Tribolium castaneum: one gene and its partners. The protein of the gene in region 3 binds, or shares a complex with, the protein of the main gene of each other region. Links are inferred from orthologs where the notes say so. Each region holds a gene or a part of one and is shown on either strand. Other genes may lie near its edges.

The links.
Region 1: Sgf29 (region 3) and NC2beta share a complex: the UniProt entries of both Homo sapiens proteins name them as parts of the ADA2A-containing complex. The link is inferred for Tribolium castaneum from reciprocal best matches to the Homo sapiens genes SGF29 and DR1.
Region 2: Sgf29 (region 3) and Ada3 share a complex: the UniProt entries of both Homo sapiens proteins name them as parts of the ADA2A-containing complex. The link is inferred for Tribolium castaneum from reciprocal best matches to the Homo sapiens genes SGF29 and TADA3.

Annotation. Positions count from the first base shown.
Region 1 is NC_087398.1:1,910,220-1,913,029, forward strand, and holds NC2beta (protein Dr1), read right to left. Parts: upstream 1,290-2,810; 5' UTR 1,171-1,289; coding exon 930-1,170; intron 883-929; coding exon 611-882; 3' UTR 588-610; downstream 1-587. UniProt on the Homo sapiens protein: The association of the DR1/DRAP1 heterodimer with TBP results in a functional repression of both activated and basal transcription of class II genes.
Region 2 is NC_087401.1:17,517,072-17,520,904, reverse strand, and holds Ada3 (transcriptional adapter 3), read right to left. Parts: upstream 2,325-3,833; 5' UTR 2,171-2,324; coding exon 1,993-2,170; intron 1,938-1,992; coding exon 1,549-1,937; intron 1,497-1,548; coding exon 1,327-1,496; intron 1,272-1,326; coding exon 1,168-1,271; intron 1,115-1,167; coding exon 831-1,114; intron 778-830; coding exon 598-777; 3' UTR 523-597; downstream 1-522. Other genes in the region: uncharacterized protein LOC656520, read left to right, coding at 1-59; uncharacterized protein LOC103313297, read right to left, coding at 2,490-2,669, 2,713-2,922, 2,976-3,833. UniProt on the Homo sapiens protein: Functions as a component of the PCAF complex. The PCAF complex is capable of efficiently acetylating histones in a nucleosomal context. The PCAF complex could be considered as the human version of the yeast SAGA complex.
Region 3 is NC_087396.1:14,033,127-14,037,215, reverse strand, and holds Sgf29 (SAGA-associated factor 29), read left to right. Parts: upstream 1-1,167; 5' UTR 1,168-1,445; intron 1,446-1,494; 5' UTR 1,495-1,597; coding exon 1,598-1,768; intron 1,769-2,223; coding exon 2,224-2,743; intron 2,744-3,593; coding exon 3,594-3,778; 3' UTR 3,779-3,865; downstream 3,866-4,089. UniProt on the Homo sapiens protein: Chromatin reader component of some histone acetyltransferase (HAT) SAGA-type complexes like the TFTC-HAT, ATAC or STAGA complexes.

The DNA of each region.
Region 1 (2,810 bases), on a different chromosome or scaffold from region 3:
TTTTTCAACATTCTAAAATATCATGCTTGGGTAAGCGCACTATTTGCGATAATGATGAAAAAATCTGGAGAATTTACTTACACGAGTTCATTCACATAACCTCAATGTACGGCAGCTTTGCGCCTTTTTGTATCTCTAGTTTGCTTATCAAAAAAACTATTTTTGTATTAAATATAAAAATTGTTCTGCGGTTACGTGCTAAATGGAAATTAAATAACTTTTTTTCTATTAGAAAATGACATTATCTTGGGGATATTTCAATGAAAAAAGTGTTGCCAAGATCAAAACATGGCAAACATGTTACGTTGGCACTTAGTTGGCGCTTAGTTTTAAAGGTTTTTTTTCCATTTATTTAATAATTATTTTTATTACTTAATTATTTACAGGGACTACATTACCAAGACTGTAATAATGAGTGTTTTTCAGCGTTAGGAAATTGGTTATTTTATCCTGTTTAGACTTCGTACGCATAAGATTGCAGATGAATAATTTTCTTGTAAAAAACGTTGGGTCACTATTTATTGAATGTTTGTGGTTGATACAAAGCCTAAATCTAAGATATTAAAAAATAAATGAAAACAATAACAAAATATTTAAAGCGTTTAATAAATCATTCGTAATCATCATCATTGTTTGGTAGAGCCGAAGCTTGGGCTTGTGCCGCAGCTTGTAGTTGCTCCCATTGCTGTTGCTCCACAAAAGCCTGCTCTTGCCTAGCCTTGGCGAACAACTCCTGCTGTTGTCTCAACAACTCCTCTTCTGGTATTCCCAAATTTTCTAACCTTGTGCTCTGTCGCCTGCGTTTCGCTGCAACAGCCTTACAGTCCTTAAGAACAGCTTCAGCTTCGGTTTGATAATCTCCAAAACCCAACTTTTCTAAAGCTGCGAAAAACTTTACTTTTGTGTTGTTTAACAATGATGAAACATACCCATCAAAACGTGTTCCGCATTTATAGTCTTTTTGTCCAATCGATTACATATTTCGTTCGCTTCAGAACTAAGCAAATGGATAAATTCCGTACAACAGTTGAGGATTAATTCCCTTGCTTCATTTGCAACTCGAACTGATGGGACTAACTCCTTTATCATTTTGTTAATGCTAGCCCGAGGCAAAGTCAGCTCATCGTCTTCGGTATTTGTTAAACCACCAGCATTATTTTGATTAGACATTGTAAATTGTTATATTTATCAACAAAAAAGAGATATTTAACCTCAAATAGGGACAGCTGGAACAATTTGACATGTCAAGGATAATGCTGTTAGAGTCCGCGAAATGACAGATCGTCATTTGTGTGAAGACAGCTCCCAAAACCAGCTCCTCGAATTTCCGAAGAGACCCGAACATGAAGCCAGTTTCAGACTAGCAAAATAAGTTTCAGTTTGCTTAGATGTATGTTTGGTTGTCAGCTTTGAAACCGTTTAATAAAATAAAAATCCGAAAAAACACTAAACACCCTCTTAAAAATGACATTTTAAGAAAGTCACTATGCTAATAGCGAAAAACTCAATTATTTACCACAAATTGCTTTTTAATTTTTCCCACTTTTTCACCTAATTTCAATATTTATGGCTCCGCAAATGCATTATTGTAGTTTTCGCCCCATTTCACCCCGAAATCGGTTTTGTCACACAATGCCCTTTTGACCACTAATTCAACAATAAAAAAGACGTTTTTTAAAAATAAAATTATGGCCTTTTAGTTGTCGGAACAATGTTAAAAATTGTTATGTTGCCCAGCTCCGCAAATGCACTGTTGCAGTTTTCGCCCCATTTCACCCCGAAATCGGTTTTGTCACACAATGCCCTTTTGACCACCAATTCAACAATAAAAAAGACGTTTTTTAAAAATAAAATTATGGCCTTTTAGTTGTCGGAACAATGTTAAAAATTGTTATGTTTTCCAGCTCCGCAAATGCACTATTGCAGTTTTCGCCCCATTTCACCCCGAAATCGGTTTTGTCACATAATGCCCTTTTGACCACCAATTCAACAATAAAAAAGACGTTTTTTAAAAATAAAATTATGGCCTTTTAGTTGTCGGAACAATGTTAAAAATTGTTATGTTTTCCAGCTCCGCAAATGCATTATTGCAGTTTTCGCCCCATTTCACCCCGAAATCGGTTTTGTCACATAATGCCCTTTTGACCACCAATTCAACAATAAAAAAGACGTTTTTTAAAAATAAAATTATGGCCTTTTAGTTGTCGGAACAATGTTAAAAATTGTTATGTTTTCCAGCTCCGCAAATGCATTATTGCAGTTTTCGCCCCATTTCACCCCGAAATCGGTTTTGTCACACAATGCCCTTTTGACCACCAATTCAACAATAAAAAAGACGTTTTTTAAAAATAAAATTATGGCCTTTTAGTTGTCGGAACAATGTTAAAAATTGTTATGTTTTCCAGCTCCGCAAATGCACTATTGCAGTTTTCGCCCCATTTCACCCCGAAATCGGTTTTGTCACACAATGCCCTTTTGACCACCAATTCAACAATAAAAAAGACGTTTTTTAAAAATAAAATTATGGCCTTTTAGTTGTCGGAACAATGTTAAAAATTGTTATGTTTTCCAGCTCCGCAAATGCACTATTGCAGTTTTCGCCCCATTTCACCCCGAAATCGGTTTTGTCACATAATGCCCTTTTGACCACCAATTCAACAATAAAAAAGACGTTTTTTAAAAATAAAATTATGGCCTTTTAGTTGTCGGAACAATGTTAAAAATTGTTATGTTTTCCAGCTCCGCAAATGCATTATTGCAGTTTTCGCCCCATTTCACCCCGAAATCGGTTTTGTCACATAATGCCCTTT
Region 2 (3,833 bases), on a different chromosome or scaffold from region 3:
CAGCCGAACAATACGAGTTGATACATCGCGTATTGAATTTGTATGTTGACACAATGTAATAGTAATCAAAATTTCAGGACAAAAAAATCCATGATGATAATCATTTGTATAGAATGTAAATGTGATAATTTTGTAGGATTAAGCGATATATTTTTTTTGTTGTTGTTCTGTTGCGTCATATTTATTACGATTTGTTTTTTATATAAATATTTAGGGAAAATCAATTTTAGCCGTTGGTAGTATTCATGTTCGCAATATACTTTTTTTATAGGTTAAGTTCATCTCATCGCACAATTGTGATTGTCAGGTTGGCACTATTGACTCATTCGTTTCATATACCACCAGTGGTGCCAATTTGAATATTCAAAAGAGTGATTTTTTACCAACCAAACGAAACGAAAAAAGCATTTTTTGATGAATATCTCTCCCAAGTACAAATTGATTTATCGGTGTTTTTCAATTATTTAATTAGGAGTGTTAATTAGACAATTGAGGAAAAAGAAAACAACTCTAAACACCAAATACCAGACTAATTTGTAAATTAATGTGTCAAAAATAATAATAATAATAATGTAAGACTTAAAACTGGTGTTTTTTTTATTCCTGCAATTCCGCCAAAGCTTTCTGAAACTTAAACTGCGTTTCCAACAAGACATGTGTCTTCACTTCAAATTCTTTCAAACTTTTTGTAAAGGCGGCTTTATCGAAATCTTCATCCTTGGCCTGCTGGATTTGCTTCTGTTTGGTCATTAACACCTTATTATAAACTTCCAAAACCTGAAATTTTAGGTGTTTTAATTTTGTTACCATGGTAACACCAATCAACAAACTTCGCCATCTACTACATCCAGAGCTGCTTTGATTTCTTGCCGTTTCAAATCTTTGACAACTATAGCTTTCAAACGTTTCAATTCCTCAACATTATACTCATTGACAGCTGTCAATTCTTGTTGACATTTTTTTATTTCTTGTAAAATCTCATCGTCGGGCATTGTTTTAGATAAATCCTCAACACTTAATAATCCTTGTTCGACTAAATCTTTCTTAAGGCGGCGATCCATACATATGGCAGCACGTGGACCACCAGCTGACTTGATTATATTCAAATCGGACGCTTTAAAAGTGAATTAAATGAGTTTGAAGTTACGACAAATGTGATTTTATTACGTTTGAGTTTCCCAGTAACACCCGGAAATGACGTCATCACTTTCTCCTCAATCAAGGCGGCCAATAGGCGTTGAGTTTTCGGGTTTGAAAATGAATCAACCATTCTATTGATTGATTGTAAATTTTTTTGAACTTTATGACTTGATAAAAAATACTTACGCACTCAAACCGTTCTTTTTCAAATCAAGGCCAACTGTTTTAGAGGTTAGCCCCAATTCTTGTTCCACTCCGGTTGCATTATCTGACCACTCATTGGCGTAATATTCGCCCAAATCGGGTATTTTTACATCAATTTCTTGCGAACATTCCTCGATTAATTTATCGAGGAACTAAAATTTTTTTTGTTAATACATAATTATAAAATTGAAAAAATCAATCAACCGTAGCGTGTGAATTCGTAACGGGGGCGCAATAGGGCTCCACAGTCGCCCAAAACTTATCCGAAGTATCATTCTTGGGTAAATTAATTTTGGGCATTTCATGCCTCAAGGGCACATCCACCGGAAGTGGATAATGACGTTTCAGGGGGCGTGCGCCCCCTTTCAAATCACGATACTTGGCCTTATCATCGGGCCGTTTCCGTTTGAGCCCCCCTTTATCATACGATTTGCCCTTTTTGTCTCTTTTTTCCTCAACTCGATCAATCGATTCGATTTCGCCCCTTAAAAACCGGTTACGCACAGCACACGTCGAAATTAACTTCTCAAGGTCGAGTTGAAGTTGATCAAGGTCGTCCATGTTCACTCCATCGTCTTCGGTGCGCCCCAAAACTAAAAACTTGCTCATTAATCAAAAGGGGCAAAACGTTAGGTTAGGGTTGATTACTGGATGAAAAACGGGGCAAAAGCTTCGTGTTGTCGCATTGACGGATCAAAGGGACGGTGTTTATGAAGTTTTCGGTGTCAGGAGGGATGGAGTCGTGACGGGAGGACGAGGGGGCGTCTTTCGCTTTGCCCCCTCGGGGGGCGTTTTTTGACATGAGGTGGCGTTTGGGGTTGTTCATATCACGCTTTAGGCACAAAGAACATGCAAAATGTTAATCATCAATGTTATTTTAGCCAATTTCACACAATTTTGTTGTTTGTTGACAATCGATACATAAAAATTGACACTTGAATTACAGGAAACTGTAAACTAAATCGAACATAAAGGGGGAAAATTTAATACGTGTTTCCGAAACGTAGGGCTTTATTTACTAATCAAGTAGATACACCTGGAGGCACAAATAATTATTAATTGATTACTGGACGCACTGAAACGTGATTAAATATGATTAAGATTTGGGCAGTACCATGTATCAAAAAAAAAACGGTGCAAAATTTTTATTGATTTCGAATTTCTAAAGGCGGGCGATCAAAATGCCGTATATTCCTCGGCATAACCATGTCATGTTGCCACTTGGCCACATCTTTCATGTAATTACAAACGGCCAAAATTAAATTTTCGGGGACTTTCGGCCCGATTCCTGGAACTGGATCCACGAACACATCCTCATACTCAATCTAAAACAATTATAAAAAAAAATTTCCCACTTTTTTTTTCTACTTCTGGCGCTTTTTCCTTGACGGACGGTTCACTTGTCGACGTTTCGTAACTTTTAAGTGACTCATTAGTGAAAATTTCACTCTCAATTCGTGTTTCAAAATGTTCAGGTGCATCAATTTGTGATTGAGTTAAACCAGCTTCAGCTAAAATACTAGCTTTGAATTTCTCAACTTCGTCGTCACTTTCACCCATCATGGCTTCCTGTAATGACTAAACCCGAATTTATTTCGGGGAAAAACCTAGTAGACTAGTCGGTGAATTACCCGAAGTCTTGCCAAATCTTCCATAAGATAAGTGTCTTGTTTCAAATCCTCTTCATCTTTCTTCAATGATTCACTCGGTGCTGATGACATTCGCGTACTTTTCGAAACAAGGTCATCTTCAACCGGAAATTGCGGAATTTTTTCGTCTTCAGCCAACTGTTCCGGAAATTTTTTTTCGGAAACAGCGACCGATTCTTTACGTTCTTCAACTTCTTCTTCTTTCACTTCTTCATCAACAGGTTCCGTCTTTTCTTCTGTTTCTTCCTTTATTTCTTCGTTGCTTTCTTCAAATTCGCCTTCGGCTCGTATTTTCATCAACAATTTCATGTAGTTGTCCGGATCCTGACTTGTGACACTTGGACACGAAACAACCGAACCCTCATCGTCTTTTTTCGTCTCCCTTTCACTTTTTTCCGTCACTTCGGACACAATCTCGCTCATAAAATCCGTTTCGAGTTCCTCTTCCACCGGTTTTTCCCCTGAATCTTTGGCAATTTTCTCGCGAAACAATTCGAGAAACTTATCCAAAAAATAGTAATTTTTCAAAGTTTGTGGCAACGAAGCATCAATTCGTGCTAAAAACTCATACAAATCGAGAAAAGTCGATAGAGGAATCATTGCAGAGCCACCTTCAGGCTCTTCGGTCAATATCTCACAAATCAAAATCATTGTTTGAGTGAGACTATCGGTCAAATGTGCGGCACAAAGTGCAATAAAACGCAACCAAGGCACGGCTTGATTATCGTCAAAGCCGCCCAAGACCAGAATTTGGATTAAGTTTGGGTGTTGGAGACATGCACCAATCCAACGATCCCATAAAGTTTTAAACGTGACGGTTTGGTGGCCTGCCATTTGGTA
Region 3 (4,089 bases):
CAAAGCTTCAAGAATTGTGGAGGAATGCCTGCAAAATTGAGGATCCTGTAAGTTCAAAATTTTGGCGTTTTCGCTATTTAGGGTATTTCAGAATTTACTTTTAAGTTTCTTATTTGCGCTCGAGTGTGTCAGTGCACTGCATGTACCTCCTCGTGGTCGTAGCGTGGGCAACTGTTTGCTGACAGACAAGGTAAAAGTCATTGCAAAGCAGACCTTATTTTGTTTTAAGTCTCGAGCAGACAGGCAAAACATGCCAACACTGACTGATTTAATTTTTTTATAATTTTTGTATAATTAAGAAATAATACAATACTTTAATTTTTTGAAAAATTTAATTTGTTATGTTACTCAAGTGTACAATAAAAATGTTAACAAAATCTGTGTTTTATTACCCCAAAACAACTTTTTTTGTAAGTTTCATTTCAAATTTTGTTTAAAATAAATATAAAACGTTTTCATTTTGTTTAAAATGAAAATATATTTTTTTATTTTAAACAATTTGCAATGAAACTTGTAAGATAAAAATAATAAAAAACAATATAAAAGGAATTTATTCAAACGTGGCACTTTACCGTGGTAGTAACGCACTTCAGCACCAGAGGCGCTGGATTCTCGTGTTGCCAGTGATTTACTAGGGAATTATCACTTCTTAACCCTTTCTGTTCTGTGCTACCTGTCAATTCCTAAAACGTCTACAAACATCACGCTCTGCACAAGCGCGGCGCTAAATTTAAATAACACGATATTTTTTAATGAAATAAATTTTCAGATAGACCCAAATCGTTTTGAAACCAGAATTTTCCTGAAATATTTAAATTAAAAACCTCTATATCATTAGTTAGTTACATAATTAATAAGCAAATAATTTTTTTCATTTTAATCTAAAGACGCAAGTACTAATTAAATTCACAATCACAACCTCGTAGCAAGTTTACAAACACGTATTTAATTAAATAAATAAAAAATAGTTGCAATTTTTTAAATAGCGCCTCAAGGCCGTCGTAGTTCCAATGTGACAACACAGAGATAAGTAATCCTAACACAACATTATCTTATATAGAAAAAAAGGGAAACTTAGTGATATTATCGTTGCAATGTTAAAAACATTATCAAGCATTTTATTCCACAATTATTACTAATTAGTGAATTTTTTGTAGGTTTAATTGAATATATGTATTAGGTCGTGTGTTTCAAAAAGTAGTCTATTTGCACGGCTAACGTCAAGCACAGGCAAACAAAAATAAGTGTATTTTAAATTACGTGCATGTTATTTTGATAAAAAATTACCATTTCCATAATTAGTAGTTTATTGTAAAGTACAATACATAAAAGTTACCCCCGCAGTGCGACTTGTGCCCTTTTCCCTGGCAGTGCATCAAACAGTCAAATCAATGTTTTTTGATTTAATTGAAATAAACATTTCCACTAGAACCGTGTGTAGAATAGTCAGTGATTACTAAAGTGTATACTTTTGCTCTATTTTGGGCGTTTCAGGTACTCGTCACTTTAGTGTTGCTTTGCTGGTACCACGTTGTGCTTGTAGACAGGCACTTCAGGAACCCATATTTCTGCGGTGAATTTTAATTGCACTATTAAAATGCCCTTTAGTGCAGACGCAATCGCAGCGCAAAAAGTTCAGGAGCACTTGAAGTCGCTCTATCACACGGTTCATGAGATTGAGAAGAAACGCCAACAGAGTGAACAAGGAATAAACAACATTGTTAAGTTTCAAAATGGGCAAGACGAGAAGTCCAGCCAACATTATCAGGTGTGGATTTTCTGGCATTCGCAAAATATTTTGAGGCATTTTCCGAAAAAATAACAGTAATTTGGGGCCAACATTTTTATGTGTGTATCAGTGTGATTTGTTTTCTTCTTTGTGTCAACGACATTTGGTCCCTTTACCTCGGTCTTGTTCTCAGCGGCAATCGTTACCTAATAATTATGCTACAAATAAAAGTACTGATTTCACTGCAACTTACAGTTAAAATTGTTAAAACGTAAATAATTACAATGGCTTTTAAGATCTTTGATGACATTTTTCTGATCTTTGGCGGCTTACGGTGCCCTGGAAACGCTAAATTAAAAAAAATCGCCTTTGAACCACCTTTTAAAGCTCAATTGTGTTTCAAGTAAATATTTTTGTTTACGTGAATTTAAAGAATTCCATTGTTTCGATTCAATAAGAGTTTATATGATTACTGTAATGATTATATATTGTAGATGAAGCTAAAGAGCCTCTACAAGTCCTCAATTTCGCACGCCGAGCAAGAGGAGGATTTGCTCCGTCAAGCTCTTCAAAAAATTGCGGAAATCCGCAACATTAAGAACGAACGGAGAATTCAAACGAGACATGCTGGAAACAAAGAATCGATTCGTAGGGGCACTTGGATGAAGATGTTAATGAGTTCGGCACAAACATTGCCCCTTTTCGTCGGTAAAATAGACGAAAAACCTCCTGCTCTCTGTGGTGCCACACCTGCTGACTCTGGCTATGTGGCAAAAGTGGGCGATATGGTGGCTGCTTTGGTTAAAATTCCTGATGGAGATGGCGAAAACTGGATATTGGCTGAAGTGTACAGTTATAATCACGCCTCAAATAAGTACGAAGTTGATGATATTTTGGCGGAGCAGAATCAGAAACGGCGACATACTTTGAGCAAGAGAAATGTGGTACCGTTACCCCTAATGCGGGCTAATCCCGAGACTGATCCAACGGCCTTGTTTCCACAAGGAACTGTCGGTAAGTGGAGTTACAACGAACTTCCTCCTGTTTCAAGCACCGATTATGGCAAAACTCTTCGGAAAATTGAAACTATTTTAAAGTTGTCTTTGTAAAATGCTCTGGGAAATCGCTTGGCGTCAAGAAAATGACCAGATTCTTAATAATTTTTAAGATATATTTTTTACACTGTTTGCGATTTTTTTTAAAACTGTTAATCGCAGAACAATGGTCTTTTTTGTAAAAAGAAACAGATTATTAAGAGCTATCCAACGATTATACACTTATTAGGGTTTCGGCTAGTATTTCTGGAATTATTGCCCGATGAATGTCACAAACGTGTTGAAACATTCGGTGGTATGTTAGCACAAAAAAAATCTATGTAAATTTTTTACATTTTTATAATTATTTTATGGGATGTCTCGTGGTTTTTTTGTGTCTGTTTTTGCTAATAATTTTTACTCAGTGTAGTAGATTCCTCAGAGATCATATTTGTTTAAAATTTTTATTAGTAAAGTTTAAAATTGCTCGCCAAATTTAAATTTATTCGCCATCGCCGACGAAAATTCAGAAACCACAAATATTCGGATAATGCAAGTTGAGTTCTTTTGAGCTCTACTCACATTCCTTAAAATATTTGCACAACTATCAAATTATTACTTTTTCGCAAAGGATTAATGTTTTTTTACAATTCTTTCTTATTTCGTCTTATTTGACAAATGATATAAAGCAAAAATAACAGCTAAAAAGACACTCTTTGTTAATTTATCTCTTCTAATGACCTCGGATATAACGAACGGATTTTGACACATTTTCTGAGTTCGTTATAACCGGACACCACGTAAATTAAAATGTTGGTTTTGCGTTTCAGTTATGGCTCTATACCCAACTACGAGTTGCTTCTATAAAGGCATTGTGAACAAGCCTCCCGCAACACATACTGATGAATATGAGATTTTGTTTGAAGACGCTGCGTATCCTGAAGGCTACAGCCCGCCCCTGTATGTGGCCCAACGCTACGTCATTGCCATAAAACAGAAGACAAAGCAAGCCTGACATTATCTTTCAGACACTATGTCTGATTCTGAAGCTTCAAGTTTTATGGAATAATTTATTGGGTAGTAAACATTCGAGAAACTTTCATTTTGTGTTATATTTCACCAATTTATTATTCATCTTTACATGTACATGAATTTTTTTTACATTTTTGTTATTTTCTAATCTAACTTTTAAAAAAATGGAACTCCTGAAAAAAACAGGCTGAAGGTACCTGTAATGTTGCAACATTAAAAATTATAAAATAAAAACGAAACTGTTCAGACCGTAACAAAACTATTCTCATAACCGTTACAACTACCAATTTCTCA